2 linked regions of the Oryctolagus cuniculus genome follow. Each later gene encodes a partner of the first gene's protein in a complex. Links are inferred from orthologs where the notes say so. Each region holds a gene or a part of one and is shown on either strand. Other genes may lie near its edges.

What was found.
Region 2: the proteins of PTH1R (region 1) and PTH are in contact, whole or in part, in a cryo-EM structure (PDB 9JR3), measured with the Homo sapiens proteins. The link is inferred for Oryctolagus cuniculus from reciprocal best matches to the Homo sapiens genes PTH1R and PTH. Residues at the interface, in NP_000307.1 of Homo sapiens: Val31, Met32, Thr33, Lys34, Glu35, Gln37, Ile38, Leu41, Glu111, Trp112, Asp113, His114, Ile115, Ile135, Tyr136, Asp137, Phe138, Arg146, Arg162, Thr163, Ala165, Tyr167, Val171, Leu174, Thr175, Glu177, Glu180, Arg181, Phe184, Leu187; in NP_000306.1 of Homo sapiens: Ser32, Val33, Ser34, Glu35, Ile36, Gln37, Leu38, Met39, His40, Asn41, Leu42, Gly43, Lys44, His45, Leu46, Asn47, Glu50, Arg51, Val52, Glu53, Trp54, Leu55, Arg56, Lys58, Leu59, Asp61, Val62, His63, Asn64, Phe65.

The regions. Positions count from the first base shown.
Region 1 is NC_091441.1:101,878,258-101,882,654, reverse strand, and holds the start of PTH1R (parathyroid hormone/parathyroid hormone-related peptide receptor), read left to right. Parts: upstream 1-1,555; 5' UTR 1,556-1,570; coding exon 1,571-1,994; intron 1,995-2,993; coding exon 2,994-3,116; intron 3,117-4,397.
Region 2 is NC_091432.1:52,704,191-52,708,636, forward strand, and holds the start of PTH (parathyroid hormone), read left to right. Parts: upstream 1-1,387; 5' UTR 1,388-3,973; coding exon 3,974-4,107; intron 4,108-4,224; coding exon 4,225-4,446. UniProt on the Homo sapiens protein: Parathyroid hormone elevates calcium level by dissolving the salts in bone and preventing their renal excretion. Acts by binding to its receptor, PTH1R, activating G protein-coupled receptor signaling.

The sequences.
Region 1 (4,397 bases):
GAATGTCCTTAAGGGGCCCAGGGCCCATCAGAGTCCAGCAGTGGCTTTACCCACAGCGGCCCCTGGTCTTCACAGGTGCAAATATCATTTTTGTAAGCCTCAAGCTTTGTTGCATTAGATCTAAGGGTGACACCCTCCACCCCCATCAGCTCCAAGTTCTACCTCTCAGTTCTTCTCTCATCACCAAGGGGTTGGGAGGCCAGTGGTCACAGAGCCACACAGCTGGGAGTCCCTCAGATCCAGACACAGAGCTGGGCCATTGTGGGAGCCCACACATCCCAGAAAGCAGCAGCCCCCCTGAGGATGCAGGGTGTGGGGACACAGAGGGCAGGGCTATCCTTTCCACCAAGGACAGGTGCTCATCTGACCCTGGCAGAGGCTGCTGGGGGAACAGAGGCAGGACAGAAAACTTGGTGGGGGCGGGGGGTGGGGTGGCGGCCAGCACCACAGCCCAGGGTCTGGGAGCCTCTTTGCAGGACATTGTCTACTGCCCAGTGCTTGAATGGCAGGAGAGACCTGAGGAGGGCGGGGCCGTGGAAGCTGCCTCTGGATTCCAGCAGCCCTAGGGTTCAGCTTGAGGCACTGTACACTGTAGGGGAGGGACAGTCCATGAGATGGGGTGCTCCCTTCCTCAGGCTGAGTCTGGGGACTCCCTGGAGCCCTTGGGCCTGAACACCCACCCAGGAGTGAGGGTGGGGTGGGGTGGGGAGTGAGGGGTAAAGTCAGTAGCACCCGTTGGACCAGCTGGTCAACTTCCCCATTTCACAGATGAAGAAACTGAGGCGTAGCCTACAGGACAGCCACAGTGCCGGGGACACACGATCGGTAAGCAGAGGCTGCCACTTAGGGTGTGTGTACACACTGCACCTGCCCAGGAAGCCCCAGCCCTTCCCTCTGCCTCAGCTTCCCCAACGGTGCCAGAGGTGGTAGGTTTGGGGTCGAAGGCGACCCCTGCAGCTCTGACGTCCCCTCTCTCGCCGAACACATGAGCCCCGCCCACGACCCCCCTCCCGAAACTTCTGCCTTCCCTTTCCTCAAATCGCGGGTCCTCAGCGGACCCCGGCAGGCCACAAGCGTTTTGGGGCGGGAGGGGGGGTGTCCTGGCTGCTCAGAGCTCCTCCTCCCATTTCCCTCCCCCCGCCCCGCCCCGCGCCACGGGCCGGGGCCAGGCACCGCACTGGAGAGGGCCGGCCAGCGACACCTGGACTGGAAAGAGATGGGTGGGACCGGGACGTGAGGATGAGACGGGGGCGCGTCTGGGGCCCGAGCACCCCAACTCGCGCAAGATGGGGCAGGGGCCCCGCGGTGGGGCGGGGCGGGCCGGAGGGCGGCAGCGGCCAAGCAGCCTCTCCAGGGACCCCGGTCCCAGCCCCGAGCGGGAGACCGGCAGGCGGCCGGGGAACGCCGAGTCCCGGGCAGCCTCCCCACGGGATCCTCCCGGGAGAGGGCCTGCCTGGCGGCCGAGGATGCCTGCTTGGACCGGACGATCAGAACACAAATTAATAAATAAATATAAAAGTCTGTGTTTTCCCGAAGAGGAGGACGAAGCGCGGCGGTGTCCCAGGCCCCGATGTCAGAGCTCTCCCGGCTCAGACTCCCAAGACTCGCGTCCCGCCGCCGGGCGACCCCGGGCCGCGGCCTCGACAGAAGCGTCCCGGGGCGGGGGGCGGCGGGCTCCGTCCGGCCCCTCCACGCTGCCGTCGGAGGCCACGCGGGTGGGGGCGGGGAGCCCGGGGAGGGCGCGGGGGAGGGCAGAGGCGCCCGACCGGGGGAGGGGCGCGGCAGACGCCGAGGCGAGGGACGCGCGCTCGGCGGGCGGCGGCTCGGAGCGGCGGCGGCCGGGCGGGGGGCGCTGGAGGCCGGGCCGGCCAGGGGGGGATCCCGAGAGCTCCATGAAGCCCCCCCGGGGCCGCGGACGGGGCGCTGGCTGGGGGAGGCTGTCGGGGGGGCCCCGACATCCATGGCAAGGCGGGGGCCGCGGCGGCGCGCTCGGAGTAAGTGGGGGCTGGGGGCCGGCGCCGAGGGGGAGGCCGGAGGTGGGCAGGGGCGACTCCCGGCGCGGCCGGGCCGGCCGGGCCGCTCTGTCTCGATGTCTGTCGGCGGCGCCTCCTCGGAGCCCGGTGGAGCCGCCAGCCCCGCGCCGCTCGGCTCGGTGGCTTTTTTGGAAACTTGCAAATGTTTTCGTAGAGAGGGAAGGGGGAGGGGAACGAGGGAGTGACCGAAACCGAGCTGGTTGGGGCCGCTGGAAGCACGGAGGCCAAGACCGGGGGAGCTAGAGACGGACTGACCGACAGACGGACAGACAGAGCGTCGGGGCCGCAAGCGCGCTCGTGCCGCGCGGGCGCAGGCGGGGCTCCGGCCGAGGATGGGCAGGGGGTGCCGGAGGCGGCCGCTGGGGGCAGGGGGCCGAGGGACTGGGAGCTGGCGGCCGGAGCTGCCAAGGGCTCAGCGCCGCGGCAAAGTTGGGATCGTGTCCCCGCGCTGCACGCCTCGCGCGGCTCGAAACGCGCCCCCTGCCCCGCCCTGACTCCTCGGCAGCCCCACGCCGCCGAGCTAAAAATAACAGCTCTGCTCGCCCCCCGCAGACCGCGACCCCGACCCCTCCCCCACCCCTCCCCCACTGGGCGTGGGGCGAAGCCGCAGCTCCCAGTTCCCCCAAAGGAAAAAAAAAGAGAGAGAAAGAAAAGGCGGCGCGGGAGGGGGGCGAGGGGCGGGCCGGGGGCGGGGGGCCCGGCCATATGGATGTGATTTCTCCGCTCCGAGGCAGACGGGCCGCTCCGCAGCGCTCGGCGCCCGCCCGCCGCCCGCCCGGCCTCAGGCTGCCGCCCGCCCTCCCTCCCTCCATCCCTCGCTTGCTCGCTCACTCGCCCGCCCTTGGCGCATGGGCCCCGCGCCGGGCCCCGGGGCCTCGGGCCGCCCGGACGCCGGGGTCCCCTAGGCCGGGGCGTGGGCGGGGCGGCCCGGCCTGACGCAGCTCTGCACCCCTACACCAGGGCCGGCGGCGGTGGCTGCCCCGAGGGACGCGGCCCTAGGCGGTGGCGATGGGGGCCGCCCGGATCGCACCCGGCCTGGCGCTCCTGCTCTGTTGCCCCGTGCTCAGCTCCGCGTACGCGCTGGTAAGTCCCTCGCTGCTCACGATCCGGGACAGGCTGGGCGCTTGCCCTGGAGTCCCTGGGGCGCGTTTACGGCGGGAAGTCTTGGGTTCCCCCAGTGGTCTGAACATCGAGTGGGGGGTCCCCTCTGGCGTCTGTTGTCTTGGAGCATCTGGACTGTGGGTTCCGGATGCTGAGGTCTCCCCATTTGGGGAAGACTGGTGGGGTTTCCCTGCTCTCTGCTTGTCTGAGCACTGCCTGGTTGTGTCTCCTTCGGAGGTGACAATGTGATGGAGTAGAAGGCCGGACCTTGGCCCCGGGTGTGGAGTCACACAAAACGTTTGCTTTGGGGTTCCTCGGTTTTCTGCAAGTTTTGTTTGCAGCCTTGGACACCGGGCTGTGTCTGAGGTTGGGGTAGGTTTTAGGGGCTCCCTCCAGGTCTCGTGATCACCCACTTAGACACATGCGTGAACACATGTCCAGCTTCACCCAGAGCTGAAGCCCCTTGCCCAGGAGGGAGGGATGGAAGTCCCTTGGAGACTGACCTCGTTGGACATCTCTGCAGGAGAAACACACTTAGGGGGGCTCTGGTAAGTGAGGAGATGGACGGCTGGGCTCCCCCAGAGTGGAGAGCAGCAGACAGAACAGTAGAAAACGCTAGGGAGAGACAGGGACAAAGGGAGAACAGAGGAGCGGGGAGACAGGCGAAGGCAGAGACTCAGAGGGGCAGCACCTGCCTGTCCCGAGCTGGGTCAGTGGCTGGGGCTAGGGGATGTCCCATCCTCTTATTCATATCCAACAGCAGCCCTGCCCCAGGGACCAGCCCCTTACTAAGGAGGGGCTCTGCCTGTAGCCCTGACCTCTAGACCCCTGCTGTCCTCTGCCCAGATGGGGCCATCTGCCTTCTGGTGAGCAGTACGGGCAGGTGCTCCCTCCTCCTGACCAGCAGCAGAACCCCACGCGAGAGGCAGGAGCCCTGGGGCTCCCCTGGCTGTGCCTGGTGCCTGTGCAGCCTTGGGCTAGCCTTTGCCATGCTTCTGATGTCCCGAGTTCAGGAGAGAAACATTTTCCAGAAAATGCCCTGCTTTGCGGCTCTCCCCTCCTCTGAGGTCCTCTGCAACCCCGCCGAACCAGTGTCCAAGTGCTCGCAGTCCTGGCTGCAGCAAAGGATCCCCAGAGCCAAGGACTCGGGATAGGGAAACTGAGCTCAGGGGGGCTCAGCACCCTGCAGAGGTGCACCGAGCACTAGCATGGGGGGGTGCAGCGGAGCCTTCCCCACCCTGCCTCAGGGAGCTCTGTGCATGC
Region 2 (4,446 bases), on another chromosome or scaffold:
GCAGGCCTTCAATCATCAGTTGGAAAAATTGAGATTCAAACCCCAATCCCTGGACAGAGAGTTTACAAAGGGCTTAGGCAAATTAAGCCCAAGAAGACTGGAGGTCAAAGAAGGGCCATATTTTAATGGGAAACTAGGATACTGAGAATCCAATGGCTCTGGAGTCATAAAGACCTTTGTTGAATTCCATCTTCTCCACTTTCCAAGTCTAATTTTCCTCAGGTGAAAATGGGAATAACAATAATACCTACTTTAAGGCACCTCTATGAAGGCTTAGTAAATAATGCATGTAGTGTCTAATATAGTATTAGTGCTTCAGAAATGTTATTGCAGATTAAAATGTATAAATGGAATGTAAATTAAATGATTTTTTAAAGGTTTATTTATTTATTTTAAAGGTAGAGTAACAGAGACAGAGGCAAAGTGGGGCGAGGGGGGTCTTCCATTTGCTGGTTCACTTCCCAAATGGCTGCAATGGCTGGAGCTGGGCCGATTTGAAGCCAGGAGCCAGGAGCATCTTCTGGGTCTCCCATGCGGGTGCAGGGGTCCAAGGACTTGGGCCATCTTCTACTGCTTTCCCAGGACATAGTAGTGAGCACTATTGGAAGTGGTACAGCCAAGCCTCGAACCAGTGCCCACATGGGATGCCGGCACTGCAGGCTGCTGCTTTACCTGCTACCCCAAAGCGGCAGCCCCAGTTAAATGAATTTTAGAATAACTTCACTTTTGAAGCTTATAAGAGGAATTATGCCCTAAGAACATTTTCTGGTTATTTTTAACACTTTCTTTAGGAAAAATACTATAGTTTTTGAAATATGACTAGAGTGACTGATATGAATTTGTTGAGAATGGTTTATAAAGTTAGCATAGCTCATATGACTGCTTATCATAACAACTGTGTCAATAGTATGATTATAACAAATACACTTATTTTCAAATTTTAAGGTAACATGATAAGTCACAAATCTTTGAAATCAGGCTTTTTAAAGGTATGAATTCAGATTCATCAACCTAGTCGAATTTTTCTCTGAAGTAAAGTTCAATACTTGTTAGAAATCTTCGTGTAAGCACTTTTCCCGGTCCGGTACTATTTTCCTTTTCATATCCAATAATCTAAAACTTAAGAGGGGTGGGTCCTGCCCAGTAGGGGTTGTGTGCTGCTGTGATCCCACATTTGACCTTCTGAGAGCTGGGAGTGGCAAGATCTGGGAGAATAAAAAGCTTTTCTCAGAGGGCCAGAGACCTGTTGTGAATGTCCCGTTGGCTGCTCTGCACTGCACTCCATCGGCATTGTCACGTCGACTCGACATTCATAGAGCATCCGCTGCCACTCACCTGAAAGAAGCCCTTGTCCTAAGACATTGTCGGGTGAGTCCCCTGCGATTTTATCTTGTTTTTAAAACAAGATAAATGAGAATTTTGATAACCAAACAATTGTGTTAGACCATTTTCTACAAATATGTTGTTCATTCACAGTAAAATCTTTAAATGAGGTTGAATTATTTTAAAGATTAAATGCAACAATACAGAAATTAATGCTAAAATGTTCTTAAATTATGCATCTTTCTGATTAGATATTTTGCTTTTTCTAAACTCATTTGAAATTTCAGGAAAAAATAATCAAAATCTGACATTTTAGCAGTCTATCAAAATTTTGAAATAAAATAGGCTGACAGTAAATTGAACATTTCTGATTTAAATAATCATTATAAATTCATTAAGCAGAATTAAAATTCAGTTTTTCCTGCAGAGTAGGAAATGCCTTACATTGATGGTATCCTTAATTGCTTGTTGGGGCTTAATCTGAATACTAAAGTTGGATAAACTCAGTTTTGTTACTGAATAATTATTTCCTTTACACAAATAACAACTTTTTCTAATTTCCTATGCTGAAAATTGTACATGAATTTTAAGGATGTTTAACAACCACTTTTCCACTCTTTTTTGTGATATTCTTTTTTTTAAAGATTTATTTATTTATTCAAAAGTGAGAGTTACACAGACAGAGGAGAGGCAGAGAAAGAGAGAGAGAGGTCTTCCATCTGTTGGTTCACTCCCCAGTTGGCCACAACGGCTGGAGCTGTGCCCATCCAAAGCCAAGAGCTGGGAGCTGCTTCTGGGTCTCCTACGCAGATGCAGGGGCCCAAGGACTTGGGCCATCTTCTACTGCTTTCCCAGGCCATAGCAGAGAGCTAGATAGGAAGTGGAGCAGCCAGGTCTCAAACTGGCACCCATATGGGATGCTGGCGCTTCAGGCCAGGGCATTAACCCATTGTGCCAGAGCGCTGGCCCCTGTGATATTCTTCTAAGAAGCCTATCTCCCCCATTAAGAGCAAAGAAGCAAAACAGAGAGATGTCAGAGGTCGTAGCTGAATGTGACAGAGCCAGGATTAGAAACCAGTGTTGCTGTCCTCCTGCTACCTGGCATGTTTCTAACCTAAACGAAAAAGTTCCTTTACTGCCCCCATATTATTATATAGTGAACAGAAATGTGGCAGGCTTTTATGTTTGTTACATTATTTCTAAATGATATAGTTTCTCTTCAAAGTAGAAGTACCACACTCCTCCATGTGTATGTTGGAAGGTAGATCTCTGAGCTTTTAGAAGAACTTCTATAGTAACAGCATTTGCAATGATTGAAATGCAGATTAAGGCATGACTATTTTATAGTGAAATAAGAAGTTTATTGAGCAAAAAGAGGTGCTAAAATTTTGCTAAAACATAGCTGCTAGGGCTGGTGTTGTGGCGTAGTGGGTTAAGCCATGGCCAGCGATGCTGACATACCCCACGGGTGACATGAGTCCCAGCTGTTCCACTTCTGGTCTAGCTCCCTACTAATGTGCCTGGGTATGCAGCAGCAGATGGCCCAAGTGCACCCATGTGGGAAACTCCAGTGAACCTCCTGGCTCCCAGCTTCAGCCTGGCCCAGCCCCCATTTGGGGAACGAAACAGTGGATGGAAGATCTCTTTCTGTCTCTGGAACTCTGCCTTCCAAATAAATAAATTTTTAAAAATAGTTCCTAATAAAATGAATTGGAAAAATAAATTCAGATAAGCATTTTATTAAGAACTGAAGCTTGAAATACACATAATAAACAATTCTATTATATTTATTTATTTATTTATTTTGACAGGCAGAGTAGACAGTGAGAGAGAGAGACAGAGAGAAAGGTCTTCCTTTGCCGTTGGTTCACCCTCCAATGGCCGCCGCGGCCAGCGCACTGTGGCCGGCGCACCGTGCTGATCTGATGGCAGGAGCCAGGTGCTTCTCCTGGTCTCCCATGGGGTGCAGGGCCCAAGCACTTGGGTCATCCTCCACTGCACTCCCTGGCCATAGCAGAGAGCTGTCCTGGAAGAGGGACAACAGGGACAGAATCCAGTGCCCCGACCGGGACTAGAACCCGGTGTGCCGGCGCCGCAAGGTGGAGGATTAGCCTAGTGAGCCGCAGCACCGGCCCTAATTCTATGATATTTAAATGCTGTGACAGTCTTTTCAATGCCAGGGGAAGTGTGTGTTAATTCAAAAAAAACTCTAAATCAGAGCTTATTAATTTGGTATTTAGAGTTATCATTGTAGTACCTGAAAAGAAGTTTACCTATGAAAAAAGGATTGGCTAAGTAAATAAACAGTGTTGACAATTTACCTAATTAAGAGAATTAGCCATTTTCAAGCAAATTATAACCATCTAGGAATAACCAACATAAAATGTGAGAGGAAATTCTCAAAACTAAGATCTTGCATCTTCTCATTGCTGAAAATTCACATACTAAAATGTGCAAAAAAATCTCAGAAATATACTAAGAAAGCATCCCTAATCTAAATTCTATATCAAATATTTGTATTTGTACTAACATATCCATAAAATAGAGACTGATTCCAAAAGGCTCTCATGGAAACCAACCCAGTGTCATGCTGTGTGTGTGGTATGGTTATTAAGGTAAGCTACAAATATGTATTTATATAGTTTGAAATATGAAAAACATGTTAAAATGTCTCTATTTTGCTTTCCTTTTAGAGAAGATGATGTCTGCTCAAGACATGGCTAAAGTAATGATTGTCATGTTTGCAATTTGTTTTCTTGCCAAATTGGATGGGAAACCTGTGCAGTAAGTACTGTGGCCCATTCTTCATGGTGAGGGCATGGGAACTGCATTGTTAAGGCTGGCTTTATGATATGGAAGCGGAGTGCTCATGGGATGACCCTCTCTTCTCTTCTCTCCCAGGAAGAGAGCTGTGAGTGAAATACAGTTCATGCACAGCCTGGGCAAACATCTCACAGTGATGGAGAGGGTAGAATGGCTGCGGAAGAAGATGCAGGAGGTGCACAATTTTATTGGCCTCAGAGTTCCTCTAGCTCCCAGAGAAGGGGGTTCCCAGAGGCCTCGAAAAAAGGAAGACAATGTCTCAGTTGACAGCCATCACAAAAGTCTTGGCGAAGCAGACAA